Yarrowia lipolytica: one gene and its partners. The protein of the gene in region 1 binds, or shares a complex with, the protein of each later gene. Links are inferred from orthologs where the notes say so. Each region holds a gene or a part of one and is shown on either strand. Other genes may lie near its edges. The genes, in order: YALI1_E17760g, YALI1_B16584g, YALI1_E16023g and YALI1_D35907g.

Region 1 (6,608 bases):
TGCTGGGCAGTCACCTCTCGCTCCTCTCCGGCAACTCGCTCCACTGCCTCTCGGCTAGCGGCAGGACCCTCGCCGTTCTTCACTCGCTCGGCAACCATGTTGTACCACTCCTCCTCGGTCTTACCCTGCAACAGGGCCACAACCATGACGGTCATGTTGTCACAACCAACACCACTAAGGTCAGAGGTGGGGGCCAGACAGTTGTCAATCAGGTTTTCGCAAATGTCCACAAGGGTCTGCTTCTCGGCAATACCTCGTCGCACAAACTCCACAACCTCCTGCGACAGGAAGCAGTCCCAGATACCGTCACAGGCGAGAATCAGGAACTCGTCGTCGGCAGTCAGCTGATGCTCAATCACGTCGGGATAGGCAGTGACAATCTGCTCCTCGGGAGGAAAGTACGGTGACCGCTTGAAATCAAAGTCACCAATGGCTCGCGACAGAGCAAGGTTTCCGTTGACTCGTCCAGCCTCCACAAATCCTCCTGCGGCACAGATTCGCGTTCGCTCACCCTCGTGTTGGGGCTTGTGGTCAAAGGACATGGGCTTGGCAATACCCTTGACACCGAGCACGGTTCGGGAGTCTCCGGCGTTGGCACAGATGACCTTGCCGTCGGAAACAATGGCGGTGGTGGCGGTGCATCCAGATGAGTCGTGCTTGAGGGCGGCGTCCTCGAGAATGGCTCGGTCTGTGCTGAGGAAACCGTCCTTGAGTGCCTGACCGTAATCTCCCTTGGCAAAGGCCTCCTGCCGTGCGACAATGTGGTGCAGGTTGTCGCCGGTGTAGATGGCAACCTTATCACCTCCGTGTCCGTCGTAGACACCGAAGAAGGCCACCTTTTTCTTCTCGGGCTGTCCCTTGGCGTCCTTGAGCTCCAGCACGGTGGCGTGGGCGTCCTCCATGGTTACTCGCCAGCCCTGCATAGAGGACAGGCCGTAGACGAGATCGGAGTCTCCTCCTTTTTCAGAGTACTGCGTTAGTTGTTGTTTAGGGGAGATGTCGCCTCATTCAATGTTCGCCGTCGCTTGTTCCCGTGTCAGTCATCGCGTTGGGTGCTCAACGTTGCTACCCAGGAAAACGGGCATCAACACACTCAAGTAGTGCAATTGGACATGGTCGGGCGGGGTCCAAACAGCTGATACTCACTTTATCCGTCACAGGCGTAGACAAAATCTGTCCCATTATGTGATTCTGGAAGTTGTATTACCGTGTTTTGATGGGGGATGAAAATGTGTGTTTGTTGATACCAGAGAGATAAATCAATGTGAGTATCAAAAAATCAAAACCAGAAAGTGGCGCAAAAAATAGGGGTGTCGAAAAGAAGCTGAGGGGGGCAAAAAGGCAAGGATGTCTTTTTCTCTGTCGAAGGTTCTTTTTTTTTTCTCTGTATCGTACTGATTTGCGAGGCGAGCCAGATGATGTTGACACTTGTTTCTGTTGTAGAGTCTTCTGTGGTGTGGTGTGTGGTAACTGTCGTGTCAGCAGGCTTTGCATTTAGCCTTCGCCTCTATTCCCTTTTCCAGGTTTCCAGAAACCCAATTGGCGACTCAAGTGACCGTCGTCGGTGCTAGCCCCAACCGCAGAACAGCAGTCGACGAGCTGCCTGGCGGCGGAATCCGCCTCTACTACTCACCAATGCCCGATTTCCACCTCTGATCTTGCCTAGGACCCCGCCGGGTTTGCGCCACACCATGCATCCGCGGTGTAATGAGGGGTATTAGTTAACCTTGTCACGTGAGCCGGTTTCCCCTGCTACTGTTTTTTTTTTTTTTGAAGTATTTTACAGCACAAGTAGGGCCTTCAACAGGGAGATCCTCCTCACTGGTCTTGTTTTTATTTCTGTTTTCTGTCGACCAACCAATAGACACGAACAAACAAACAAACGGCGGAAAAAGCAAAGTCACCTAATACGGCACACGCCGACAATTCTGCTTATCGCACTCACCTCGTGGACCACACAAGCATGCTATGGCATCACGTGCTCTGATGGGGTTCTTTTTCTTTGTGTTGTTCGCCTATATTTTGTGAGACCCTTCCCGATCTCGGCTCGGAGATAATCGGATATATCCGGAACGCTGTGAAACGCGAGGTACCAAAAAGAACGCGAACCACCAGTAGACCTGTCTCTAAAGGAGGTTTTGTTTTCGACACCAAATTTAACCCTCACAAGACACCCCGCCAGTACGATGACGCGCGCGCCTCTTCGTATTCCTCGTATAGCCGCTCCACACTGTTTATGTCCCTCCACCCTGTGACTTCCTCTTGTGGAGTCACCTCGCATCTTGTACGCATTTCCAGGGCAGTCTTTCCTCTTCGGACATGCCGAGAGCCGAACACCACTGTTAAGCGATCGTCGAAGACGTCCATGATAACACTTGGACGAGGCGGGTGACGATGTCTTGAGAATCGAAACCACAGCGAGATAAAAGTATTTTGGCGAGGAAAAGAGCTGATACAGTTGCCGCTCCATAGAGACAAATAAATAATATATTACTACAAGTTTGGGAAGGATCTCATCGTAAGGGCGCTGTTGGGGCTCATACAAAAACGATCAACATGTCCTTCCCTTTATGATTATACTAAACAAGCCCCGGAAACAGTGCTCAATCGCAGCGTTCATGACGCCTGGAATACAGCCTGCGACGCACGCGATTTTTGGGGGCACGTGATTTGGGGGCACGTGACATGGAAATTGCGCCCTGCGGCTCGGCTTCAGGAAGATCAGTAGAAGGCGTTGAAGAACAGTGGGAAGCTGGTTTCAAACTCCAGAATTGTATCTGTTAACGCTTCTTCTTATCACCCTTTCGTCCCTTGGAGCATGAAGGACAGAACCAGACTCCCTGGGGAGGCTCTGCCAGACCCACACAGTCGTAATGGAACCATTCGTACTGACAGTCATCGTTATCACAAGCAACCATTTCTCCGAATGACGGCTGCTGACAGAAACAGTAGAGCACCTCGTCATCTTCCCCAGGTCCGGCTCGAATAGCAGCATCCAGAGATCCCACCGCCACCGTCTCAGGCATGTTTCGGAGCTGCTCAGAGGCACCCACAGACGACTCCTTGCTCATAGATGCAGCCTCGTTATTCTTGTCAGTCGCTCGCTTCTTTGGCGGTCGTGTTCCAGGAGTAGAAGACCGACTGGCCGCTGGAGAACCGCCTCTTCGACTGTTGGCTCTGTCTCTTGTGTAGTTTCGGGATGGGGGTTCCGGTGCAGGAGTGGCTGATGACGTGGCACGCGATCTGTTGGCTGAAATAGGTTTCTGTGGTGGCGCGCCACCCAACAGACCCTCGGCATCCAGCTTGTCGATGTCGTCATTCAGTTTCTTGACGTGTTTTGCCACTAGGGTCAGCGCCTGTGCTGCCAGAGTGCATTTCTCGTCCTGAAGCTCCATGGCGGTCTGGAAGTCCTGGCGTATTTTGGGGTATGCCGCCTGCTCCTTTGGGTTTTCTGCCAGGGAGCCATTTGCTCTGATGAATTTGTGAATCTGGTTGTCGCGTTGTTGGATGCGCTTGCGGGTCTCATAGAACTTGAGATCCTTGTCTCGGACCTCTTCGAGGATGTGTGCGACCTCGGACGGCAGGTTCGCCAGGTCCTGGACGTATTGGTCGAGTACCGACGCTGCGTCCATTGTTGGGTGGGTGATGGCAGAGTAGTGGATGGGTTGATTAAAGTGGTGTAAATAAATGTTTGGTGTGACACAACCAGAGTGCATATTTTATGCAGCTGTCCCAACTAGAAAACCAAGAGTTTTAGTTGGACTTTTTGTCTTTTTAGAGGAGAAAATGACATCTACAAGATACAAAGGAGAAGAGCTGATGTGGCAAGGTCGAACGAGAGGTGAATACAGCCCAATAACGATTACATGACCACAATGAACAACCACTGGGTAACCCAAGGGTTTTTTTTCGGGCAACAGTACATACTGTTACCAGACTACCCAATAGTAGTTCATAACACACTTGTACTGACGATACTACTAGTATTGCAAATTCCCCAATACAATGCTACATCAACACAATTTCAGTACACCCAGTGACCACGCTTGCATAACCCCACATCTGCAATGAAAAGACAGAGCAGTAGACATCATGGAGAATCTCACCAACAGCTCACACACACAACAAAGTCCCCCCCACGGAGCCCCCACTAGCGCCACTAACGCCTCTACCTTAGCTCTCCACTAACAGTGTATAGCCGCAGTCCCCTTACCAGTAGCTTAGTGATTCATACCATAACCCTATTTGAAATTTGTGTGTATGAAACTTTCCTCGACATAGAGTCATCCGGTACCAGTAAAACGTGCGTTGTAACACCGACAGCTCAACGGCTTCACTTACTCCACAATGATCCAACTCAGACCCACTCTAGAGGCTCTTCAGACCATCGTGGCCGACAACCGAGCCGCCGCCACCAAGGAGACTCTTCCCGACAACCTCTATCCCGTTTTCGCCTATGTGGATGCTGAGGCCCTGACTCCTCATACTGCCTACCTCAAGTTGGCTCGTCTGGATGACCCCAACCGAAGTCCCTCGTTCCTGTTCGAGTCTGCCCTCGGTGGTAAGCATCTGTCCCGTTACTCTTTCATTGGATCTAATCCCCGGAAGATGATCAAGACTGGTGCTCCCCATGGACCTGACGTTGATCCGCTCAACCTGCTGGAGTCTGAACTCGACCAGTACCGACAGTTCCAGACCCCCGGCGTCCCCACTCTTTGTGGAGGAGCCATCGGATACATTTCGTACGACTGCATCAAGTACTTCGAGCCCCGAACCAAGCGAGATCTCAAGGACGTCCTGGAGGTCCCCGAAAGTGCCCTCATGCTCTACGACACCATTGTGGCCTTTGACCACGTCTACCAGCGACTCCAGGTTATCACCAATGTCAAGGTTGAGGCCGACACCGATCTCACCAAGGCCTACGAGGACGCCAAGAAGGAGGTGCAGCGAATCGCAGACCTGCTGACTTCCCCTGAGGTTCCCCAGCCCCCCCAGGGACCCGTGACCCTTGGAAAGACTTTCACTTCCAACATTGGCCAGAAGGGTTACGAACAGCACGTGACCACTCTTAAGGAGCGAATCAAGAAGGGAGACATCATCCAGGCCGTGCCCTCCCAGCGAGTAGCTCGGCCCACCGACCTGCATCCCTTCAACGTCTACAGACACCTGCGAACCGTCAACCCCTCTCCCTACCTGTTCTACATTGACTATCTTGATTTCCAGCTTGTTGGTGCTTCTCCTGAGCTGCTCGTCAAGATTGAGAACGGCCGAATTGTGTCTCATCCCATTGCTGGAACGGTTAAGCGGGGAGCTACTCCTGCCGAGGATAACCAGCTGGCTCAGGAGCTTCTCAACTCTGAGAAGGACCGAGCTGAGCACGTCATGCTGGTCGATTTGGCCCGAAACGATGTCAACCGAGTATGTGATCCTCGATCCACTTCCGTCGATCGGCTTTTGGGTGTCGAAACCTTCTCGCACGTCCAGCATCTCGTTTCCCAGGTGTCTGGTGTTCTGCGACCCGACCAGACCCGATTCGACGCCTTCCGATCCATTTTCCCTGCCGGAACCGTTTCTGGTGCCCCCAAGGTCAAGGCCATGGAGCTGGTTGGAGAGCTTGAGAAGGAGAAGCGAGGTGTCTACGCCGGTGCCGTTGGATCTTTCGGCTACAACGGAGAGGCCATGGACACTTGCATTGCTCTTCGAACTATGCTTCTCAAGGACGGTGTTGCGTACCTGCAGGCCGGAGGAGGCATTGTCTTCGATTCTGACGAGTACGACGAATATGTCGAGACTATCAACAAGATGATGGCAAACAACCGGTGTATTGTCGAGGCCGAGGAGATCTGGGCTGGACAGCAGAAGGGTGAGTAGAGGCGATGAAGATGCACTTCATTGCACTGCGCACACAGACACAGCCACAGACAGAGACATGCAAAGCCCAGCACCGCCAGACTCTTGTACTTGACCTAGTCAAATCCGTTTCACACTGTGAGACCCTCACCTTGAGTGAGAGGAGTCCCGTCGAACGACGATATGTAGATAATGAAGAAGGTTGTATACCTGTACAATACTGTGATTTTGTGTGTGAATTGTAGACAGAGAGAGAGCTTTGTGCATAGGAATTGGACTATAATGATATATGGCCAAGGCGACAAGTACGGATTCGGATACTTGGCTTTCCTACAGTACCCGCAACTAAGTGTTACAGTAATCCCGCCGCATGTCTGTCACAGAAGGCTGTTGTCTTGCAGGGGATTTGGCGTGAAGCATGATGTCACAACGCTCCGACGTAGACCCACCCGTTTGTGTTCCCCACTCCCGTACCGTTGACCCCACCCGTTTCTTTGTCTTTTTTAATTTGTCTTGCTTGTTCTTGTAGCCCGATGGAACTTTGGTGCATAGATCGTCGTCCTTGCATCGGAACTAGGTGGGCTGAGCAGAGGTGGGGTACGATAAGCTGGCGGGAATAGGAAGCAGGAAGTTGGGGGCCTCCGAGATCCGGTACCAAAGTATCTCTAGCCCAACTGTAAACGCTCCGCCACTGCGCGGGATAGTTTGCTTTGCTCCGGACCCCACCGTCTCAGGGTTCAATAACTGCAGATCAGGCA
Region 2 (8,219 bases), on another chromosome or scaffold:
AAGTGATTTACAAGGGTAACTACATTCCATGGAAAGAAGGACTAGCACTGGTGCACCACTCGTGCAGCAGGGCCAAGAGACGTTTGGCTTTACTCTACTTAACCAGCAATTAGAGTCAAGGTAACGGAAGAAAAAGAAGAAAAAGAAGGCACGCAAGACACATTCCAGACCCAGCGGCCAAGACAGATCGTCAGGTTGCCAGTCGGAGGAAAAGACTACCCGTCCTTTCTATTGCGAGACGCGCACTGGTACCTGGGCAATGTAGCAACCAACTGGACAACCAAAAGCAGCCATTGTTTGAAGCACAAATAAGACAGCTGATGAATATTTCCGTAGGTGCCGGGTACTTGTTCTTACAACTGTACCGTAGAAGTGCGATGGCATCAACTGTCATTAGAAACCAAGTGATCATCTGTAGATAGCTGACACCAAGCCCCCTTCCCTCCTTCAATGAGAGTTTTAATTACGAGTTACTTTCCTCGCACTCCGATCTGCCGATGTACCGTAGCTACTTGTACGAATACGTACTTGTACCTACTCGAATACCGGCTCTCATGCTCATGCTCATACCCACATAAGTAGGCCTGAGACATGATTTCTTTTTGCAGCATAGATCGTTGCTTTTGACCGGGCTCACCTGCCGGGCACGGTCGGGCTCGCTGAAACGGTGTACACATACTGTAGACAGCGTAGGCGGTGGCATATATCGTCAGTCTCGTATTTCCCTCTTTCGGAAATTTCATACTAAACCCTGTGATACGACAGCTGTCAGACACATTGACCTTGACGGAACGACAGAAAAAAACATGTGATTTATTTCTACATGCAAAAGCTACAGAAAGTAAGGCCAGACTAAGTAAATCTCCGCTGGAGAGCACAAGCACCTGTCGAAGAAAGAAGACGCTCTGTGAGCAAATCTGTAGTGAACCTTTCTTGAGCTTGTTTCCCCTACTCGCTGCTCTCGAAAGCTCATTTGAGAAAGACGTTGCACAATACCATGACTGATACATGATAGACACGGTAGACTGTTGAGCTGATGAGCAGATGCACTAACGGCGACAAAGACAAGCAGAGGGGCCTACTGGCACCAAACTCGGGTATGTAGACATACAATAGCTTAGTATCGTCCCGTAGCGTGCGTCAAACAGCGCTATTTTGTGAACAAGGTGAAGTCAATGGAGCGGTCTAAAACAGTCCGGCACGATACATACAGTGATGATGTACGAATGTAGTTGTATTAGCGAGATCTAATCACATCGAGCCATTACGCAATAGCTAGTATAAGTACTTAGCTACAGGTAGAACACCTTACATTAGACTACGAGTACAAGTACTTGTACGACCACTCTACCCTTGCCAAAATAGCCCCAAATCAAGGCAGGGTGGAATCTGAAACAAGCATCTTGGCTCATAATTAGCGGTCTCTATAGTTCAATACATAAAACGAATCGCCAAATCAAGTCGGCTCAGATATGCGTTTTTCGATATCTCTTCAATCAAATTCAAACCAGAGTGAGTGACATCAACACAAAGCTTGCCCTGCACGTCTGTCATATTGCAGTCACAGTGCAGATTGATAACAAAGTTGACAGATTACAAATGTCGTCGTTATCAGCAGCTGCCACAATACAATAAAACCCCCCCCTAACTTCAAACACAATGCTCCCCGGTCGAAATACAAGTACAATGAAACCAAATCTCCAGGACATGTGCATACAGTGATACAGCACATGCTCGCCTCACCAGTAAATCCACTACAATATCAAATAAGAATACACCATGGGTGCTCATAAATCATCATTACTATATACAGTCTTCTCTTTACGCATCCACCTTTGCCAACTCAGATTTCTGCTTCATGTCTCCTCCAGGCATCATCCGCTGACTCATGCCATTCGGAAGAACCCCATTGGCCATGGCCCCTCCGTTGGGCAGTCCGTTGAATCGTTGACCATCAGGACTGCCACTAGATCGCCGAGGTTGAGCGGCCATCGCTGCAGCCGCGGAAGCTGCATTCATAGGAGCGACTCCCATTTTACGCTGTTGTTGCTGCTGTTGCTGCTGCTGTTGTTGTTGCTGCATCTGTTGATATTGTTGATGTTGGCTGGGCGTCATACCTTGCTTGTTGTAGCCCATGGGAGCGGCATTGTGCATCTTGGACTGAGGGCCATTAGTACCGGGAGCAGGACTGTTGTTGCGACTGCCGCCAGCTCCTCCTCCGGCTCCTTGACCACCTCCTAGACCGGCCCCTGGGTCGCCCGGGGGGTGAGATTGTTGCCGGTTTCGCATCTGTTGCTGTTGCTGCTGCTGAAGAATCTGCTGCTGTAGCATCATCAACTGCTGCTGGCGCTGCTGGAACACCTCGCGGTAGTTCTCGTAGGCCTTGGACAGCAGCATGGAGCCAAACCGAATTGACTGTGTGTCCGACGAAATGCCATTCAGCTGAGACGGGTCCTTGTCGTAGCTGGACATTTGCCGCGTCGGCTCTGTCTCTCGATCGTACTTTTGCCGGTCTGCCAGTCGCTCCATGGCAACCTCGTCTGCCTCACTCTCGGCAGTGTCGTCCAGGGAGTTTTTGGCCAGACTGCTGGGCTTGAGCACAGTGTTGCGCTGCAGGCCTCGCCGGTCCATCCACATCCGTCCTCCTCGACCAACACGCTTTCGCATGGACATAAAAGAAGACCGGGGAATAACACGGTCCACAGGTGACGAAGTAGATGTTGCATCTGATAATCGCAACTCCCCATCATCTCCCACAATAGCACCATACACCTGAGCATCTGCAAAGGGCTTGTTGCCAACCATACTGGCGAGATCCTTGTTGAAGTCGCTCTTGGTGGTGTACCGGTGGCTGGCGTTGTGCTTCTCAAAGTAAGCCATCTCATTGATAGACGAGTACTGAGGCACAGGAGGCTCACCAGAAGAAGATACCTCAGCGTTCAAGTACTCGCAGTAAGGAATGTAGCCCGAGTTTGTGAGATTGTGCCAGTCGCGGTCTGCATCTGCTCGAAGTCGTAGCTTCTCGCGCACCGCCTTTGCAATCGCCTCGTCCTTGTCTCGCACAACTTGGGCAATAGTGATGAGGTCCATGTTGGGGATCTTGGACGGTGGAATGGACACATTTGGTGGCACATGTGTGGAAGACACGGAAGGCGAACCCGAGCCTGCAGCAGCAGCCTGTGCAGCAGCGGCCTGGGCAGAAGCAGCAGAGCCAGCGGCCTTGCCTCCTCGAACAGGAGTAGATGCCTTCTCCGCTTTTTCCTCCTTCTTGGGCTCCACCTTTCGCTTCTTTTGAGCCACCAGATCCTCATCCTCACCTTTGATGCCCAACTCTCGCTTGAGAGTCTTGATGGCGCATCTGTCCTCGAACACATCCCATTCAGCCTTGAGAGCAGCCTTGCGAGTAAATTCTCGCGTGGCAACCATCTCCACCAGCTGCTTGGCGGTTTCCATCTCTGCCTGCATGCGCCGTAGTCGCTCGATGCTCAACACGTCCGTACGACGAGTCTTTCGCACCTGCCGCAACTCTCGGCGTCGGAAACACACATATGGGTCACTGTCGTCCTTCTCATGATCCTCAAATTTTAGGTGGGGCACAATGGACTGGCCTTTGCGTTCCACCTTGCGTGCTCGCCAGTGTGGATAGATGACAGCGCCGATCTTCTTGAACGTTGCCAGAAACGCCTTACCCTCATTCTTACCCTTAGTACCATTCACAGTGATGCCTAGAGAAGACTGCAACTGCGCCAAAATGTATTCCGGCGACGTTGGGTCCTCCTGAACCTGCCGAATACCATCTTCAATGTGCTGGGCCATCTCCTCAAACGACAGAAGGTTCGACACGTCGATGGACACAAACGGTTGTTTTTCGCTGATGGTCACCTCGAATCTGTGCATCACCTCCTCGAAGTCGTCTTCCGATATTGGCGGCTTGCACGTCTTGAGAAACTCTGCATCTTCATCATCCATGTTGTAGAGACATCCGGAGGTCTCTTCGACCGTCACACTCGTCCGGATGTAACTGGCGGGCTCATGAAACGACGAAGAGTAGAACCGGTCATACTCCTTCCACACCTGCGACGCATCTGGGGTGGGAATGTAGATTTTCTCCACCTTTGCGCCGGTGCTCTGGGCTATCGATGAGTTGATGGCCGCCTGCAGATGGTGCTCCTCCTCCTCGCCCTTCTCCACTCCCGTCTCAATCTGTTGCAGCTCGCGCTGCTGCTCCTCCTCAAGGTCTGGGATGTCAGACTGCTTGAGTACCGCCAGCGTCTGCTTGACGCTGATTTTCCGCTGGCGGAAGCGTGCCGACGAACCGGCCGCCTTGGCTGCCTTGGCCATTCTTGGTGGAGTCGTATGGGAACGCTTTAAGCGTGGTTGCTGTGTGTGTTGTTGGTGATGTCTTTTTTTAGTGTCGCCCTGTTAATCCTCCCCTGTAAAAAAATGCGCGTGTCACGGTGTCTGCGAAGTTTTAAAAATAAAAGAGCAGGGAAAGTAGGCCGAAAATGGGGGCAAAAAGAGCGCTGAAAAGAGGTCTGGTCAGGGCCGGTGTCTTACAGTAGTGTCTGCTCTTGCTTGCTGTCGTTTTTTCGTCCGCTCCACTCCTCCTCCTCGCAGTCTCGTCGATAATTTCTGGTGATAATCCGCCTAGAAAAATTTGCACATTTCGTCGCCGCTCCTTATTGGCCCGTTGTTGCCACTGGGACAACTCTTACCCCGCAATAGGAAATCTAGGGCTAGGGTATATGATTGTTGGGACTTGTTACGTCAGAACCTGCCCGAGTCTAAGCACAGGAGAGCTGGTCGTAAAGCCAAAAAGAGGGGGTTAATTTGCCACCGAAGGGGGTTACGTGTCGCAATCGAACGTCAGTCAGCTGGTTCGTAACAAGGCTGTTGGCGCAAATAAAATCAAATAGTTCGCCGCGGGTGAGATTTCAATGCTCAGTGGGTCGTTGTCTGTGCAAGTCGTCTTTCTCAGATGTCGGTAACGATGTTGTTGTGTGGTGCCCACTTGGTGTCGTTGCCGTCGTCGGTGTTGTGTTGTGTTATGTCGTGCACAGTGTGCCGTGTGTCTCGTGTGTGTGTGTGTGTGTAATGTTGATTGACAGCAGCCTCCACAAAGAGTTGCAAGGGGGGTGTGGTGTGTTTGGTTTCCCGACCCAGAATAGGCTTTTACTTCCTCCCAACGAACAAACTCTAACGAAACTCCCAGCACACACCAAAATCCCAGATATTATCTGGCAGTTTGGCATCCCATACTCATACTCGTAGTCCCCTCGTCAAACCCAAAGCCCTAACCCGGCGCTCCCAATTCGGCCAGCGTTCTGAGGATGGGTGGAAATAGCGCCAGTGTGGTGGGTTGATCAGGTGGAAGTCAAGAGGTCGGAAATGGGCCAGTCGGGCACAGGACCTCAGGAGTGCGTCGTACTGAGTGTCTCGGGGCCACTGTGGAGTCGAAGAGGTGCTCGTGACCGAAACGTGAGTCCCTCAGCGCCACACTGACCGGGTGCCCATACCGGGACCCCCAGACAGTACCCCAAGGAGACGCCAGCGGTGCGAATTGGCACAAAGCCAAGTCCACCGGATTGTGGGGACTCTGCCATGTCAAAGCAAGCAGGAATTCCATCACTTTTGCGGTACTTTTTCTCGCTCCGATTTGGCCACCTTTGTAGGTAAAATTGCCAGGTTCCAGTTACATCAGAGAATGGTGGAGAGGGGACGAAAACACACGGGGGTTGTAGACTCACTTTGGGCAGCACACACTGAGCGGTGTGGCCGTTTTTATCGCTGGTTAGTTATCTTTTGGTGGACATTCTGATGTGTGGTGTGTGGGGTAGAAGAGTGAGAAGAGAAGTGAAAGTAAAAGTGCATTGAGAGTGCACGGTGCAAGAGCCAGTCAGTCGGGACCTGATGACACTAAGTCTTATGGGTAGGAAAATGGGGCAAAAAGGACTCCTGAATTTTTTTGATGCCGTGAAAAGCGCAGTAAGAGTCAAGCTGTGCCATTCGCTCACCGTCTTTTTTTATTTTCAGTCATCTCAACTACAGGTACCACCGTTTCAGGAAGGGAGCTCTCAGTTGGGTTAATTTCAGCCCTGCGAAAGGCTCCATAAGGCTGAAGAAGAGCCGCAAATACCTCACGAGCAACCAAACTGAGACCACAATCTTGTACACGCAAAAATACTCACTGTTGTCTCGCTCCGGAGGGCTGAAGAACCCATGTTTGGAGCCTGGGTTGGTTATAGCATGCGGCTGTTCGAGGGTGTAAAAACAGAGGCTGGGGTTTCAGATGTAGAAAAGCCGTAGGGATGCTCTCAAAGATGGCACCGAGCGTGTGGTTAGTTGGCAGTCAGAGATGAAAAATGCTGGGTGTGTGAGTTGTGACAGCTGCCTTCTGTGGTGAGTCTGGATACAGGTCTTGTACGATGGGACTGTAACCCGGCTTGGTTTCCGCTCCTTCTGATTTGGCTTTGAATGCAACTTAATATTGTAACATTATCAGGTGGACAGGAAGCGTTAGTTACAGCAGGATTGTAGGCACTTTTGTTGGGTGGGAGTGAGCAGTTCCAACGGTAGAGCGTATGTATAGTATCGTATAGAAGAGTAGACAACTGAAGCATCGAGAAGTGTTGATAGGGATGAGACATACGGGATGGAGACACACTCGGTAATGACGAAAAACAAACGAGACAGAGCCATTCACACACGACTAGCTCGAAATCAGTCCCCATGTGGAAATAAGCCTCATGACATGGTCCCAAACCAGGCTACTCGTGACTGTGTTTCCAGAGAAACCATACGACAGGACCATTGGTCCAGTCGTCAGCACATGTGGGAGCGTAGAGGAATCTTAGAGGGGAGCTTGGAGGGACAATTAGGATGCATCTCGTATATGGCGTAATCTGGTTAATATGCAAAAATGTTGATCTCAGTTCTTCCTCCCAGATCAACCTCCTCTTTTACAGTATAACCAAAAATAATAAAAGCCCGTTGAGCAGATGCGGATGTCCTTGTTATGTGATGATGGTAAGCACTTGCAGTATGTCGAATCCAGTATGTACGGTATCATACAAAGCATGGTCGGGTAACATAGTACAATAGTACATACTCGTACTCGTACTGTACTCGTACAGGTATGTGCTGTACCCGCTATCTAATGTATGCTGCGAACGGTCAGTGTTAATGGCGGGATCATCGCTGTAAGTACAGTACGCTTTGTGACAAATTGAACTGTATGACCGGAAAAAATTGGGCCAACTTTGAATCGAAAATATGCACAGAAAAATTGGGCCTGGATAACTGGACATTTCATGCTATGGGGTATGGTATAACCCACCCTACAATAAATTAGACCAATAGTGGCGAATAATTCAATTCGACCACGACCTCAACATTGAGCTACAATAGCTTTATTGGCCCTATTGAGCACGCTACAATTCGGTCCAGTATGTACAACGTCTATGCGCACTAACGGCCATACAGTGAGTTACAGCACACCCAAAAGTAACCCTGCCTGACCTGTCTGCCTGAGACAGGAAGATTAACTCTTGTAGTGACCGAGCTCGATAAGACTCAAGCCACACAATTTTTTTATAGCCTTGCTTCAAGAGTCGCCAAAATGACATTACACAACTCCACGGACCGTCGGTTCCATGTCCACACCCTTGGATGGGTAAGCGCTCCACGCACGTACCACGTGCATTGAGTTTAACCACAAACATAGGTCTGTGTCCCAGAGTTACCCTGCTGCATCAGCCAAGTCTTGAAAGCAAAATTTCTTGCACAATTTTTCCTCTTCTTTTCTTCACTGATCGCAGTCCAAACACAAACAATGTCTATCGCCAAGATCTACGACCTCCAGGTGAGTCAATTGTCTCCTTGATTGAGTATATTCCTTTGGTTTCTCCTCAGATCAAGCACACAAACCGCACAGATCACGGATCTTGTTTCTGTTGCATGCCGTCCTCATGCCACCTACTAACGACAGACCCCCCGATACACTTCTATCAAGGCCCTCATCAAGCACTTCAAGCTCGATGTTGAGGTTGTCCCCAAGGACGCCGAGTTCGAGAAGCTCTTCCCTCTCAAGAAGGTCCCTGCCCTCCTGACCGCCAACGGCACTCCCATCCACGAGTTCGTTGCCGTCTCCTACTGGCGTGAGTATTTCCCCCAAACAACAACCCCTCCCTTGCAAAATGATGAAACATTTTTTTTAAACA
Region 3 (5,862 bases), about 170 kb from region 1:
TTTATATTTCGAGTTAAAGCGCCTTTAACGGTGACACGAGGGTTGGATTCGCTTTTTTGTCCTACTTTTCATCAGATACCCCCTCTTTCGGCAGCCTCTCAAATCGGCCACACAGCTTGCACGCCGTCAGTATAGCCTACAGTATTGGTGGTGTACTTTAACTAAGTTCAACTAAACTGGATAAAAAAAATACAGTAGTCCCACACCCTTGGAAGTGCTACGCGGCTAACAATGCCTACTCGGAAAATAAGCTTCGACTTATCTCATCTCAGACCGTCAAGAGAGGTGTTCAAAAGCCGCTTCGCAGTAATCAGTTTGCTCGTAAATGGATAAAATCAATCAATATGCCACTTATACTTCAGAGATATTCTTTCCCAACCTTGGCGGCAACCACAGCCACTGCTACAGCCTTCTCAAGCGGTCCGCTTCCCTCTTCGATGTCAAACTATAAACTCCATATTGACTCACTTCTAGCGAGTTGCGAAATACCGCTCTAGCAAGTGCAATTTTCATTTTTTGTCAAAAACCAACAATGAAATCAATTCCAAATGCCCCTTTAACCCCCCTGAACCACTCTCTACTCCCCACTTCCGCTTAACCACCCCAAATCAACCTCCCAAATACCCATTGACTCATTGGCTAATGCACCGTCCAACCTTCGCACGACGCATAAATACTGTAGACCGCTCCACAACCATCACCACCCACTATTCACCCGTCCGTTGCGATGCAAGTGCGACATTTCTCCTCGTGTCGAATCGTCCAGGCCGGCAAAGAGCGGTTTGTGCCCTCCTCGGGAACCTACCCCAAGGGGTTCAAGGTCGGCGGCTTTTTCACCGGCGTGAAGAAAAATGCCTTCAACATGGATCTGGCCATGCTGTCGTCCGATAAGCCCTGCAACGCCGCGGCCGTGTTCACCACCAACGTGTTCAAGGCCGCTCCTGTGCAGGTGGACCGAAAGATCCTCGACGTAACCCAGGGTAAGGGAATCAAGACCGTGGTGGTCAACTCAGGATGCGCCAACGCCGTGACTGGAGAGGGAGGTATCCATGATGCCCAGCAGATGGTCAAGAAAGCCGACCAGGTCTTTGGATCCGAGAGCGACCTACCTGCCTCGCTTGTCATGTCCACTGGAGTCATTGGACAGCGATTGAAGATTGACAAGATTCTCAAGGGAATCGAAGAGCACGCCCCTGCCATGAAGGACGACCATGAGGCCTGGCTCAACACCGCCAAGGGAATCTGTACCACCGATACTTTTCCCAAGCTCATGTCTCAGCAGTTCAAGATTGGAGATAATACTTACACTATTGCTGGTCTGACCAAGGGAGCCGGTATGATTCACCCTCGAATGGCCACTCTTTTGGGTTTCTTTGCTACTGACGCTCCCGTGTCTGCCTCTGCTCTCGGAGTTGCTCTCAAGCATGCCGCTGACCGATCTTTCAATGCTATCTCTGTCGACGGAGACACTTCCACTAACGATACCATTGTCTGTCTGGCCAACGGAGCCGCTGGAGGTCCCGAAATCACCGAGACCTCTGCCTCCTTTCCTGTTTTCCAGGACATCCTCACTGACTTCTCTTCTCGACTCTCCCAGCTCGTTGTCAGGGACGGAGAGGGAGCCACCAAGTTTGTCAAGATTTCTGTGAACGACGCTGTTTCCGAGCAGGAGGCTGCCAAGGTGGCCGAGACTGTGGCTTGCTCTCCTCTCGTCAAGACTGCCCTCTACGGCAAGGACGCCAACTGGGGCCGAATCCTGTGTGCCGTTGGATACTCTGGAATGCAGGTCGAGCCCACCAAGACCACTGTTTCTTTCATGCCCACCGACGGCTCTTCCGAGCTCAAGCTGCTGGTCAATGGTGAGCCCGAGCAGGTCGACGAGGCCCGAGCCTCCGAGATTCTCGACATGGAGGACCTGGAGATCCAGATCAACCTCGGCACCGGAGGGGGCAAGAACGCCAACTTCTGGACCTGTGATTTTTCCCACGAGTACGTCACCATTAACGGAGACTACCGAACCTAGAGAGGACTAGAAGCATCCAACAATCATATACATATAAAAACCACTACGATCATAAGCATATGGCCTAGTGTAGTGCAATACACACTCTCAAACGTCTATAGAAGAGCCTGGTTGTGGTCTCTCAGGTGATTCACTTAACTGTCGATGGCCCTCAAGTCTGGCAACCCTCGCCACCATCGTGAGAGACTCCGTTACACTCTACCGACCCTCTATATACTCTACTAGTTCTGTACCTGTTGGGTGCTCGTCCTCACTCCACGTAAATGCAACAGTGTTTTTTGTACAATAATAAATAAATGGTTATACTGAGCGTGACGTCCGCCACCTCAGCCTTTGGTCTCTCTTATAGAGCTCCAAGGGGCCACCCTGCTCGTCCTTCTGCAACAGGTCCAGAATTCGTTTCGCTTGTTCCCGAACTAGTCCACCCTCGACCGCTTACTAGGCTTCTCATCGCCAGACATGGGCGTCGAATCCCCCTTTCTTCTCTTTTGAGAAGCGGTCTTTTTCCTTTCATTCTTGGTTTCGTCCAAGTCACCCCCCGCACCTGTTTTGGCCTGGTGTTTGAGAAAGACCGCCGAGGACAGCGAAAACAGCCGGTCGTCTTCGTTGAACACGTAGCGCTTTTTCGATTGCGCGCCCTTGATGTATGTGTCGAAGCCCTTGACGAGGTTTCCATGGGACGTTTCCTCGAGATATGCGCCTTCCAGGGTGAATATCTGTTCCTCCAGCGAGTTGAGGTTTTTGTCATGTGTTTTTTTCTTGTTGATGTTGTCCTTGAGCTGCTTCTTCAGCTTCTCGTACTGGTTCATTTTCTGGTCGCTCATTGTGGTCGAATACTGAGAGGTTTTCAATATTGGTGGTGATAATTATAATTATCACGATACCCGATTGGAATGGTGCACCACATGTAGTATTTGTTTATTAGAAATTGGTCATTGATTTAGTTAAAAATGTCAAGTAACTCTAATGGCTCAGCAATGCTGACGTTTTCGCCTTTGTACATTTCGGGCTGGCACGAAACGCTAATATTGGGATATCACCACCACACGTCTAGCACGTCTACACCTCCAAACCGCACTACTTGGACCGCCGTACACGCCACACTACACACCGTACGTACACCATGTCGTTCCGGCAACAGTTCCAGCAGGGAGGCAATCCCAATGGACAGATGGGCTTCAACAACATGAACATGAGCCCAAACATGAACAACGCGAAAATCGGAGGCATGGATATGGGAGCGCAGATGGGCCAGATGGGCCAGATGGGCCAGATGCCACAGATGGCTCAGATGGGCCAAATGGGCCAGATGGGAGGCATGCCGCAAATGGGCGGACCCATGGGTGGCCAGATGAACGGCATGAACATGGGTGGCATGTCCGGAGCAGGTGGCATGCCCAATGTCGGAGGGATGCCCAACATGGCAGGAATGCCCAACATGGGTCAGGGTATGAACATGGGCCAAGGAATGAACCCCCAAGTTGGTCGAGGTGGACCCATGGGACCTCAGGGTATGATGGGCCAGCAGGGCATGGGCGGCATGCAGCAGGGTGGCCAGGTGCAGATGGGTGGAGGACCACAGATGCAACCCCCTCAGCGTCAGCCACAGCCACAGCAGCAGCAGCAGCAGCAGCAACAGCAGCAGCAGCATCACCACCAACAACAGCAGCAGCAGGTGCCTATGCCGCAATCGCAGCTCATCCCTCAGCAAGGAGGCATCCCCGTCATGGCTGGAGGTCAACCCCAAAAGAACTTTGATTTCCCCCCACCAGGCCAGACCATGATGCAGCCCGGCCTCACTGTCCCTCCCGTGCAGTCACATCTGGGTCTTGTGAGTTCCGATGACGCCCGACAACAGGAGACACCTCTCGTGAACCCTCCCTCGGCTGCCGAGTCGCTCGCCGAGATGCCCACGCTGTTCAACGGCCAGGGAATTACTGATCTCACAGAGATTATGAAAAACAAACGTGACCCCAAGACCGCCCAAGAACTCAACCTGCGTCGTTTTGTATCCAAGGATCTCAACGAGTCCTCCACGCTGCCCAAAAAGCTCAAGCAGGAGGCCGACAAGCTCAACGCCAAGCGATATGAGATCTCTTTCTACCACTCGTTTGGTCCCATTCGTTCGCAGGAGCCCCAGTCCATTTTTCAAGACGGATACCTCGGCTATGGCAATGGTTGGACAGGTCTCAACACACGGTTCGTGTACCCCCGTGACCGAAAGAAACACAACCGAAACACCCGGGACCTGGTGCTGTCGCGTCAGCAGATGAATCAGCAGGCGGCAGAACCGGAACTGCTGGTGCCCATTCGTCTTGACTTCGATCTCGGACGACTTCGACTTAGAGACACCTTCATGTGGAACCTTAACGAGAAGACATATCCCGTGCACTTTTTCGTGGAGAACATGTTCGAGGACTTCCACTTCCCCCACCAGTACATTCAGTCGGTCACAAACTCCATCACTGAACAGCTGCAGGATTTCCAGCCGCATCAGTACCCCCAGGACCCTCGACACGTGATTGGCAACGGAGATGCGACCCGAAACGAAGACATGCGAGTTGTGGTGCGCCTGGATATCACAGTTGGTCAGCACAATCTAATTGACCAGTTTGAGTGGGACATCAACGATTCTCTCAACTCCCCAGAAGAGTTTGCTGCCACCATGTGTGCCGAGCTGTCTCTGTCTGGAGAGTTTGCTACTGCTATTGCCCATGCCATCCATGAGCAGACACAGGTCTTTTCAAAGTCGCTGTTGCTTCTTGGCCACACCTTTGATCAGCGACCTGTGGACGACGAGGACATTCGACGTGAGATTTGCGCTCCCATACCCGATGGATCCGTCATGAGACCCAAGAACTCGGTCAACGAGTACTCTCCTGCGCTGTTTGAGATTTCTGAGGCCGAGCTGAGTCGCCTGGATAAGGACAAGGACCGAGACTCTCGTCAGAAACGTCGACAGGGACGAGCCGGCAGACGAGGCGCACCTTCTCTGCCCGATTTCAAGAAGGTTGTCCGAACGTTCCGAACTCCCGTTTACTCCGCTGTGCTTCCTGGAGCTGTCGACCGAAAGGTGGAGTTGGCTAAACAGGCACTTCAGGCAGAGGAGGAGGAAGAGGAAGAGGACAGTGATGGAAACGTTGTGGTGCGGCCTGCCAAGCGACAGCGAACCACCGGTAGACATGTTCCAGTGCGAGCTGCTGCTGCTAATGCCGCTGTGGCTGTGGCTGCACAGAGCCAGGAGCTGGAAACCAACTATGTGGAGGAGCTGGCGGATCCTACTTCATTCTGGGTCACTCTGAAGGTGCCCCCACAGCAGCTTGCGCGGCTGATGATGATTCCTCGGTTTGGATAAGGGAGGGTAGAGGGAGTAGCTACCCGCAAAAGAGATTAGCTACAGCTAACTGTATATTAATAGATGTATGAGACAAAGCAGAAGTCTTTGGCTAGTCATGCGCCAGCCAAAGGCTTGTGCTGATGGATAATGAAGGATATGTATCATATATAAGTATTTGATGGTAATTGAGGGTGCAGGTACAAGTAGTTACGAGAGATGATGATTCACGTGGTATCCAAGTACATCATGAAAACGAATGTGTACTTGTGCATAGTTCCTGGGCCACTGACACTGCTATAGGTATCTACATGTTGGACGGTGTTACATTCAATCATAGTCATAACTTTTATTCATATTTACACTTACAAGGTAAAGTCCTTGAGAAGCTTCTGGACCTCACCAACAGAAGAGGTCTTGTTGGCAATCTTCTCCTTGAGAATCTGGGCCAGATCCTCAATCTTGACATCAGTTCCTCGGTCAGATTCCTCACCCAGACCCAGCT
Region 4 (8,867 bases), on another chromosome or scaffold:
ACGTACTGTATGAGAACCAACGACGATGGCTCGGTATTGGCTGGACCGCCAACCTTCTGGCCTACGAGCGAACTCCTTGGACCGACGAGTTCCTCAACGAGGTTACTCCTCCTTCTGAGTTCAAGCTGCCCGATACAGAGGGCACCGGCATGAAGTGGCAGTGGGTCGATCCTACTTGGCGATTGGACTGTACCAACGATGGCGCCCTGGTCATTATTGGCAACAAGGCTTTGAGCACGCCCGATCCTTCTCCCTCCGAGGGATGGATCTACTATGACAACACATGGAAGCGACCTACTGCAGACGACTCTTTTAGCAAGTACACCCGACGACGACGATGGGTGCGAACTGCTGAGCTCATCACCGTCACCAAGCCCACTGATGTGGTGGTCACTGTCGAGGAGGATGGTGTGACTGACGCTGCTGGAGATGTGGAGATCATCACCACCGAGACCGAGGAGAAGGTGCGAAGACGAAAGGGCATTAGATTCGAGGAGGACTCTTAAGAGATAATTAAATATATGAATGTATCATTTTTTTACGCGATTGCGTGTAAGAGAGGCGGCTATATGAGCTTGTTCACGTAATTCAAGGGTGTGTCTGTGTGTACTGTATACAATTACCGCCGTCTGCAGTAGGTATTGTATGCGCACACACACAGTAACGGTATGTGTACAGTGGCTACTTACTTGTACAGTACTTATACTTGTACAAGCGCCACATTAGTAGAATAATTCGTGCTTAGAACTACGTGTACTATTTTTCTTCTTTTTTGATTTTTTTTTGTTATTTGATTTAGATATGGGACCAAGGATCGATGGCAATGACGGTTCCGAATTTCTCGTTGCCAATGAAAAAAACCTTGTATTCATAGCCCCACTCGTCCAGCCAGGCCTTCACCTCCTTGGTCAACATGTCTGTTTTGGAAACAACATGGTAACCCACACCAGAGATCGCATACACCAGCTTTTTATTCTTTCTGTACTGCTCCTCGACTCCCAGAAGAATGTTCTCCAGATGCATGACACTGGTATCAAGCTCAAGCCCATGAAGGTCACAGAAGATCTCTCCAAGGTCATCTCGGTAATTGTAGAGAATGTCAGAGGCCTTTCTACTGGCTGCAATGAGTTCCTGCTGGTGCTTCTGACCCTTGTTAGAGTATATCTTGGCAGCATCAGGTCGGTTCATATGCCAGTTATCGGCAGAAAGGTTGAGATACTTGTTTCGCATCTCAATATGCTTTCTGCTCTCCTTTCGAAGCTGCAGGTACTCCTGAATAGGTTCGTCCAGCTGGTGAGGGTTCTCGACCCAGGGAGTGAATTCTGGTCGAAGAAGAGTCAGAGGGTTGTGTTTTTGCACAGCCATGCGAGCTGCCGGTCCTTTGGCAGGCGAAATTTTGGCAGGTGTGAAACTAGGTGCGGTAGGAGTGAAACTAGGTGCTGTAGGAGTGAATGCCTTAGGCACAAAAGAAGGGACACCAGCAGTACCAGGCACAAAAGATTCAGTAGGCTTCACCTTGCTGAAATCAAACCTCTTCTTGGGCTTCTCAGCAACAGTTTGTGTGTCATTAGAACTGGCCACAGCTGCCCATTTGCTACCTGGCTTCTCCCTTTTTTTGGACTTTGTGTCACTAGCTGTTCCACTTGCTCCTCCCAGAGTGGGGAAATCTTCCAAGGAGTCAAGCATGGGCTTGGAGAAGTTCTCCAGAGGCTTTGTGGGCTCTGGAGTAGACTCGGTCTCTGGAAAGGAATGCAGGAAGGCACAAGTCTCGCCATTCAAGCACGCGCCACGGACCCAAAATCGACACACACGTGATGTCAGATCATGGGAATATCTGCAATCTGCCCGCAAACACTCTCCAAACTGCACAAAGTACTTACAGAGAACCTTCTCCTCTCTTCCTGGCAACAGAGCCAGTGCCGCATAGACCTCTTTCTCGTCCTCATCGTACTCTTCCTCGTACATGCTGGGGTCCTCGTAGTTGTTGTAGCCGCTGTAATCGTGTACTTCCTGATGATGTTCCATCTCGTAAACCTGAGCGGCCTGCTCCTCTTCCTCCACATGCTCAGAACCTGAACGGTCGTCGTACTTTTGTAGCACCACAATAACCACATTGATGTCGTAGTTGTGCTTCTCCAGTGTGTTCTGGATCAGTTCATCGGAGTAATTGCCTCCAAGCACGGCTCTAAGAAGATCAAAAGGTGCCAGATCGGTCTCTCCATGCCCCACATGACCTTCACTGTCAGGCACATAATCTTCCCAGTAGACCTCCTCCTCGTCCTCAGGCAGCTTATCCCGTAAGGGAACGGCCTTGCCTCGCTTCTTGTAGTCGTCCACAACTTTGGACCAGTCGATTTCTGGAAGCACCTCTGGGATTTTGACCCAGTCGATGCTCTTGGACTTGTCGACACCCACAATCCGCACATCTCCATGACCATTGCGGTGACGTGTGACCGAGCCCTCCTTCTCACGATGTTTCCACATGAGATCCAGCACCATGCTCTCCCGTTCGCTAGAAGACATTTCTCCATGATGTTTCACCACGAGCTCTTCCAAAAGCTCGATCTTGTCCTCCTCCAGGACACTGTCATCATCTAGAATCGCATCTGCCTCCCTTGACAACTCGTCCATAATGTTGCGAGATAACGGCTGTCAAATTATAGGCTTGCTTCTCTTTGCCACAGGCGATATTCCATCCACAAATTCAGTCTATCCAGACCAGCCGTTGTAAATTATTTGAATCTTAAACTGGTGGACGAGATTGATGTGCATTGGGGCTGTCAGACGACGTCCATTAATAAGCAGCAGCTTGAAGAAGGATGGGTGAGCAACTTGTCAGATATGTGATTAATGATCGTCTAAATAAAAAATATGCCTTATTATTGTGAACGTAAGTGCCATGTCTGGCTATAACTTCCAGTTTCAGCAATTTACCATTGCTTTGCTAAAATAGACAATCCTAAAAATCGAACTGAGAACAACGTGTACATTTTTTCGCCCATCACGTGAATTACATCACCATAACTCCCGCGTATTCACTCTCTCAGCGTCAACCAGCATGATGGACCCGCGGCAAGAGACGTGCGGAGACATTGTGTCGACGCGTAAACGTCGGCTTGAAGAGCTATACTACGTCTCCTTGCACCCTCGGTACCCCCAAGGTCTGGATGCCAAACAGAAACTGAAGCAGTTCCAGGACCAGTTCGACCTGACACAAAACCGACTTTTCGACGAAAACAAATTACCAAAGGCGGTCGAAGAGCCCAAGCCAGTGCCGACCCTTCAAACCTCGACACCTGATGCAGGCTCTTCTCCAGAGTTGAAGCGACGACGTACGTCTAGTATTGCGCAACTGTCACCTACATTCTCACGCACATCACTCAAAACAAACGAGCAGCAACTGCAGGAAATGCTGCTGTTTCTGGTGCCCAGCAACATCCCCGAACCCACCACAGAAACTAAGTCGCTCGCTGAGCTATACTACACCACACAGACCCTACCACTGTCCAAGCTTATTCCGTCGGCGCACAAAACACTTACCACAGACTCCTACCATCTGGCGTTGCTGGAGGGCAAGCTTGCAGTAGCACATGCTCGTATAGAGGAGCTGAAGCGGGCAGGGAAATGGGGCCCCAGGCAGCCAAAGCGGTTCCAGGACCCTATCCGACGGAAAACACACTGGGACCATGTGTTAGATGAAATGGAGTGGATGTCTACGGATTTCCGGGAGGAGAGAAAATTCAAGCAGGCGATGGCTTGTGAAATTGCCTTTTCCGTGCTGGAGTACCACAAGTACGGTAAGGAAGCTTGTTGTGTGAAGACGAAGCCTATCAAGTTCCTACCAGAGGAAATTAACGAGTCTGAAGATACAGAGAGCAAGATGGACATTGATACAAGCATGCCACCACCAAGTATCAACCCTGTTGAGGTGACAAACATCTCAGCAGCGGATTCTGTCACTGTTGTTGACTACGATACTCTCCTCTCACAACCCAGGACACTGTCATCGACTGAGGAGTCTGAAGACAAGCCGGAAGAGCCTTCTACAGACAGTGAAGAGGTCGTCGGTGGGGAGGTGCCCAAGCGACCTGCTGCTCCTAAACTTCCTGAGAGCTCTCCGTTCAAGCTGTACGCCTCAGTGGACAAGCTGGACCCTCTATCCAAGGCTCTCTTTGACAACCTCCCTGTCACTACACCTCCTGGTTCTGCCGTTAATGCTCTACAGGTTCCCTACAGCGATCCTCTGGACAACTCAAAACTCGCACCTGTCACGCATCTTCTAGCGGCTCCCCCGGAGCAAGATGATTGGTGGTCGGTATGTCTTGAAGACTCTCCTGCCGATGAGGACACTCTCCCTCTACGATCTAACACTCGTTCTACACTGTTCAATTCGGAGACCATGCGCCGACATGTCGTCATTAAGGCGCCGCAGCCTCCACAGACCAAGTACCTCGACTTCCGAACGCCAACAATGTGGTTATTGGCTGATGATTCACAGCTTCTTCGACTGGTCAAGGAGTATTCCTACAACTGGGACATTGTGTCTGCCCACATGCTGCCCCAAAAAACTTACGGCTTCACAGCTAACATTGAGAGACGTACGTCATGGCAGTGCTTCGAGCGTTGGTTCCAGCTCAATCCGACGTTTTCTCTGACGGATTTGCGTGGTCCCTACGCTCAGGCTGCCCAGCAATGGATGGCCGCTGCTGCCAAAGCCCAGGCTCAGTCCAAGCGTCGCATCTCGCCTCTTGGTGTGTCGAATGAGTCTATCCAGAGAGGTCACCGGAAGCTGCGATGGGCTTCCATGTTTGACGGTATTCGAAAGAGCATGCGAAAACGAGAAACTACCCCCCGACCTAACCCTCAGCCGCCTCGAAAGTCGCAGCTATCCGAGTCCAACAAGAAAGATATTGCTTCGCCTCTGGATCTGTGCAAGATGAAGTTTGAGCAGGATAAGAATCTCGCAAAGGCTTACGCTCAGCAGCGGATGATGCCTGGTCAGATGCCTGGTCAGATGCCCCCGGTACCTTCTAACATTCCTGCTAACCGTCAGTTCCCCGGTCAACGACCTCCTCCTCCTCAGACCGCGGCTCAAATTCAGGCACACACGCAGGCACAGGCTCGAGCTGCTGCTGCCGCCTCTGGACATATGCAGCAGCGTATGGCTGGTGTGGGCATGAACAGAATGCCTGGCCAGATGAACGACCAGCACCAGATGATGCAGTTTGATCGACAGCGGCAGCTCATGGAGCAGCAGAAGATGCTGCAACAACAGCAGCAGCAGCAGTTTATGCGAACCCAGGGGCAGGTGCCTCCTCAGCCAGGCCAGGTGCAGGGACAGGTGAACCAGAACGTCCAGGGCGCTCAGGTGGCTGCCGGTCAGGCTGGTATGGCTCAGAGACCGGCCGGCCAGATACCTCAGGGCCAGATGCCTGCTCAACAGGGACAGGTTCCTCCTGGCCAAGCTGGAAATCAGGCCCAGATGATGCGTCCCAACATGCGAATGCGACCCGGAGGTCCCCAGGCAGCTGCCCCCAACGAGCATCTGAATGCTCTAATTCGCCAGTTGCAGAACCAAAACCCTGCTTTGTCTCTGGAGGCCGCCACCAAGCTGGCGCATGTGCAGGTGCAGCGGTTTGTCCAGAAGCAGCAGCGAGTAGCTCGTCAGGCTCAGGGACAGACTCCTCCTCAGGGACAGATGCGTCCTGGACAGCCCCAGGGACAACCCTCTCCTCAGATGCGTTCGGGTTCTTCGACTCCCATGAACATGCAATCGCCACAACTGATGAACGTACAGCTCCAACAGCAACAGCAGCAACGGTCTGCTTCACCAGGTCAGAGCCCCGCCCAGCAGCACGCCATGCTTATGCGAATGAACCAGCAGCAGCAGCAGCAGCAGCAGCAGCACAGCAGAACCAGGGACAGACCCAGGGACAAAACCAAGGACAAGGTCCATCCGAGTAAGATGGCCGTCCGATTATTTATGTATACAGATAATATTATTGAACTCTACAGTACTTGTAGCTACTGTACTTTTACAACACTTCGTCATGTAAAAGTAGCTTTCTCTCTGCTACTATCTCGTAACCATATCCTCATTCCGTAACTCCATTGTCTATAATATATGTTCAAACCCGCGCACTGGTTACTTCTTCTCTCCGCCAATCAGCCCATTGACTCCACTCTTGAGAGAGTCCCAAGCACTGTTGACGGCCTTGCCGAAATGTTCGCTTGACTCGTCGACGGCAGATGTGAATCGCTTGTTGGCAGAATCAAGATCAGATTGGGCATGGGAGGCACCCTCCTTGAAGTTGTCCCAGGTGCCGTGGGGCTGTCCCTTGCTGTCAAAGGTGTCTCGGATCTTCTCGTTCTCGTGCTCGGTGTTCTTCTCAACCTTGTTGAACTCGTTCTTGACGTCCTTGTTGAAGTCTTCGGCCTTGTCGTGGACTCCGTGGGTCCACTTTTCGTTAGCATCCTTGAGCTTCTCGCCCTCTTGGTGGGCTTTCTTGTCAAAATCGCCGGAGAAGGTGTCGTGAATCTTCTCGTTCTCCTTGCCGAGATTCTTCTGGGCGTCCGAGGCGCCTTCCTTGAGCTCATCCCAGCCCTTCTTGACGTCATCTCCGAGGCTCTCAGAGCCCTTCTTGAAGTCATCGCCAGCCTTGGAGGCGTCCTTCTTGATGGTGTTATCGACGTGGTCAGCAGACATTGTGTGTGTGTTTGTGTTGGTGTATGTGTGTGTGTGGAGTGAAGTTACGAAGATGGGCACGCTATATATACCTATGCTGCCTCATCCCTATCTCCGGTCTCCATGCTCCGAATGATTTACAGATCACTTGATGATTCTGAAACAACGTGATATTAAGCTATCAATGCATTTTCATGCTTACAGGCCTTGTCTATGATTGCTATCTGTATGCGGTATGCAGAGGAGGCATTTTCAGTGTAAGACACGTTGTTATCCTTCTGCGCGATAAATCCTAGCTCGAGCGCTGAATTGGGATTGTCTGGAGACGTCTGTACACGTAAGATGAAGCCCTCGAAAGATGGAGGCGTGCCTGTGTCAATTAGCGTCCTTCTGCGAGATTTACTTTTGTCGTACATTCACATTTTAACCTCTGCTGCCTTGCATGGCCACGCATCCGATGACGTTGGCGCGCGTGGTGCAACTGAGTGGTATTGTCGCATATGCCGAGAGCCCCGTAAAAAGATGGGAGAGCCAGTGGTTTTTGTTCGGCAATACTTTTGCGAGGCTTGAGTGCATACGAGGTCATTAGATCAGGCACGTTCCGAAAATAGACCATGGAGTGCCTGTGATTTAATGGCTATCACACTCCGATTCAAGCCTCTTAATTGAGTCTACCAAGGTGCTAGCACAAGTACAACTGAAGTAAAATGATGCAAGTTGAAAATGACCCTTGGGCGTGTTAATGGGCCACTGTTCCATAATAGGTAAGAACTATATATATATTATATTATTATAAAATAATCAGCTCATATAACGATGAGGTCCTCGCCACCCATTCCATGACATTCTCGCTTAGCGCTGTGTGTGCGCTTAGTGGAAGTCTAATTGCGAGTGGTGTAACCGATAAAGTTCACACCACACACTTCCAACATCAAACTCAATTACACAATCACACCGACACAACACAATATCCACACGACATCCCTTCCTGATTCCACATATTGTCACTTCATTAGGGGTATTAATTAATTATGATCATTATATAAGAAAACAAGACATGCTTAGAAAAGCATGGCGACGGCAACAGCACCGGCAACAGCAGAGACACCAAGGGTGGCAGCGCCGTTGGCCTGGGCGGGAGGAGCAGAGGCCTTGGGGGCCTGGGCAGGGCCGGTGGAGTGGGGAGCCTGGATCTGGCCATCATTGATCTGGGAGACAATGGCACCGGCAGTGGCGTGGGCACCAGCAGCGGCCTCGGACTTGGGGGCGGCAACAGCAGAAGAAGCCTTGGAAGCAGCAGCAGAAGAAGCAGCGTGAGAAGCAGAGGCGGCAGCGGAAGAGGCGGCATGGGAAGCAGCGGAGGAAGAGGTGGGAGCAGCGGCGGAAGAAGAGCCACCTTCGAAGACAGCTCGAGCGGCAAAGCCGAGACCTCCAGACTTGCAGAACTGGTTGTTGACAATGTCGTAACCGTTCTTGCCGTTGGGGCAGGCAGTGAAGTCAAAGTTGGGGACGTAGAGATGGTTGTCACCGTTGACAATGATGTCCTTGGAGGCCTGACCGTCGGTGGCCACAATGGTGGCGTTGTCACCGAACTGGACGGGCTTACCGTTGGCGTACAGAGATCGGCCAATCACCTCGTAGGTGGTGGGGGTGTTGCCGTTGAGGACAAGGGACTTGCCATCGGAGGTGATGGCGTCGTTCTGGATGTCGGAGCCAGATCGGATGGCAACGAGAGAGAACTTCTGGGCGGAGACGAGGCCGGCGGCAGCGGCAAGAAGAACGGCGGAGAACTGCATAGTTAGAGAAGGAACGAGTGTATTTGTTGCGGGAAAAGAGGGACACAGACGAGGACACGGTGGATATATATACAATTATGACGACTTTCCACCCCCCCAACTCCACCATTTTTAACGTTCACAACATCAGGTATAGAATACGCCTGTACCGTGTAGGGATAGAGTTACAGTCGGTCTACTTGTACTGTACTGTAGTCATCATTACAAGGTACAAGAGGTACATACTGTGTACTCGTACATACATAGATGAGGCCCCCTGTTCAGTGATTTCCTCTTATACAATCAAAGTGTTGGGAGTGAGAACTGGAACGAAGAAATGTGCTTTGGATTTCTACTGCATCTTCAATACTGGTACCTCCAGGGCTCACCATGTATCATGAGAGGTT

The links.
Region 2: the proteins of YALI1_E17760g (region 1) and YALI1_B16584g are in contact, whole or in part, in a crystal structure (PDB 5J9Q), measured with the Saccharomyces cerevisiae proteins. The link is inferred for Yarrowia lipolytica from reciprocal best matches to the Saccharomyces cerevisiae genes YNG2 and EPL1. Residues at the interface, in NP_011958.1 of Saccharomyces cerevisiae: Asp2, Pro3, Ser4, Leu5, Val6, Leu7, Glu8, Thr10, Ile11, Val14, Asn16, Ser19, Glu20, Phe21, Tyr23, Leu24, Leu25, Glu26, Glu27, Ile28, Lys39, Tyr42, Glu46, His50, Ile53, Arg54, Gly57, Ser58, Ile59, Pro60; in NP_116629.1 of Saccharomyces cerevisiae: Thr144, Thr145, Ser146, Tyr147, Ile148, Lys149, Phe150, Ser151, Ala152, Asp156, Asp231, Leu234, Gln237, Leu238, Ile242, Phe249, Ile250, Thr251, Gln252, Phe253, Arg318, Arg321, Ile326, Asp327, Ile328, Asn330, Ser331, Arg333, Leu334, Arg335.
Region 3: the proteins of YALI1_E17760g (region 1) and YALI1_E16023g are in contact, whole or in part, in a crystal structure (PDB 5J9T), measured with the Saccharomyces cerevisiae proteins. The link is inferred for Yarrowia lipolytica from reciprocal best matches to the Saccharomyces cerevisiae genes YNG2 and EAF6. Residues at the interface, in NP_011958.1 of Saccharomyces cerevisiae: Ile11, Val14, Leu17, Pro18, Phe21, Arg22, Leu25, Ile28, Gly29, Asp32, Leu33, Ile36, Lys40; in NP_012615.3 of Saccharomyces cerevisiae: Ile69, Ile70, Gly72, Phe73, Asp74, Asp92, Ile94, Phe95, Leu97, Ser98, Ser99, Ala100, Thr101, Lys104.
Region 4: YALI1_E17760g (region 1) and YALI1_D35907g share a complex: the UniProt entries of both Saccharomyces cerevisiae proteins name them as parts of the nuA4 histone acetyltransferase complex. The link is inferred for Yarrowia lipolytica from reciprocal best matches to the Saccharomyces cerevisiae genes YNG2 and EAF1.

The regions. Positions count from the first base shown.
Region 1 is NC_090774.1:1,773,157-1,779,764, reverse strand, and holds YALI1_E17760g (uncharacterized protein), read right to left. Parts: upstream 3,717-6,608; coding exon 2,781-3,716; downstream 1-2,780. Other genes in the region: YALI1_E17786g (uncharacterized protein), read right to left, coding at 1-971, 1,147-1,182; YALI1_E17773g (uncharacterized protein), read right to left, coding at 1,967-2,470; YALI1_E17754g (uncharacterized protein), read left to right, coding at 4,348-5,871. UniProt on the Saccharomyces cerevisiae protein: Component of the NuA4 histone acetyltransferase complex which is involved in transcriptional activation of selected genes principally by acetylation of nucleosomal histone H4 and H2A. The NuA4 complex is also involved in DNA repair.
Region 2 is NC_090771.1:1,654,537-1,662,755, reverse strand, and holds YALI1_B16584g (uncharacterized protein), read right to left. Parts: upstream 4,342-8,219; coding exon 1,822-4,341; downstream 1-1,821. Other genes in the region: YALI1_B16578g (uncharacterized protein), read left to right, coding at 4,399-4,494, 4,563-4,824, 4,871-5,271; YALI1_B16572g (uncharacterized protein), read left to right, coding at 5,389-5,431, 5,484-5,818; YALI1_B16566g (uncharacterized protein), read left to right, coding at 5,911-6,032, 6,079-6,268; YALI1_B16544g (elongation factor 1 gamma domain-containing protein), read left to right, coding at 7,832-7,861, 7,988-8,156.
Region 3 is NC_090774.1:1,599,467-1,605,328, forward strand, and holds YALI1_E16023g (uncharacterized protein), read right to left. Parts: upstream 2,848-5,862; coding exon 2,440-2,847; downstream 1-2,439. Other genes in the region: YALI1_E16002g (uncharacterized protein), read left to right, coding at 728-2,023; YALI1_E16026g (uncharacterized protein), read left to right, coding at 3,147-5,378; YALI1_E16068g (uncharacterized protein), read right to left, coding at 5,723-5,862. UniProt on the Saccharomyces cerevisiae protein: Component of the NuA4 histone acetyltransferase complex which is involved in transcriptional activation of selected genes principally by acetylation of nucleosomal histone H4 and H2A. The NuA4 complex is also involved in DNA repair.
Region 4 is NC_090773.1:3,584,793-3,593,659, reverse strand, and holds YALI1_D35907g (uncharacterized protein), read left to right. Parts: upstream 1-3,058; coding exon 3,059-6,106; downstream 6,107-8,867. Other genes in the region: YALI1_D35945g (uncharacterized protein), read left to right, coding at 1-506; YALI1_D35911g (uncharacterized protein), read right to left, coding at 796-2,631; YALI1_D35870g (uncharacterized protein), read right to left, coding at 6,146-6,706; YALI1_D35852g (uncharacterized protein), read right to left, coding at 7,747-8,481. UniProt on the Saccharomyces cerevisiae protein: Component of the NuA4 histone acetyltransferase complex which is involved in transcriptional activation of selected genes principally by acetylation of nucleosomal histone H4 and H2A. The NuA4 complex is also involved in DNA repair.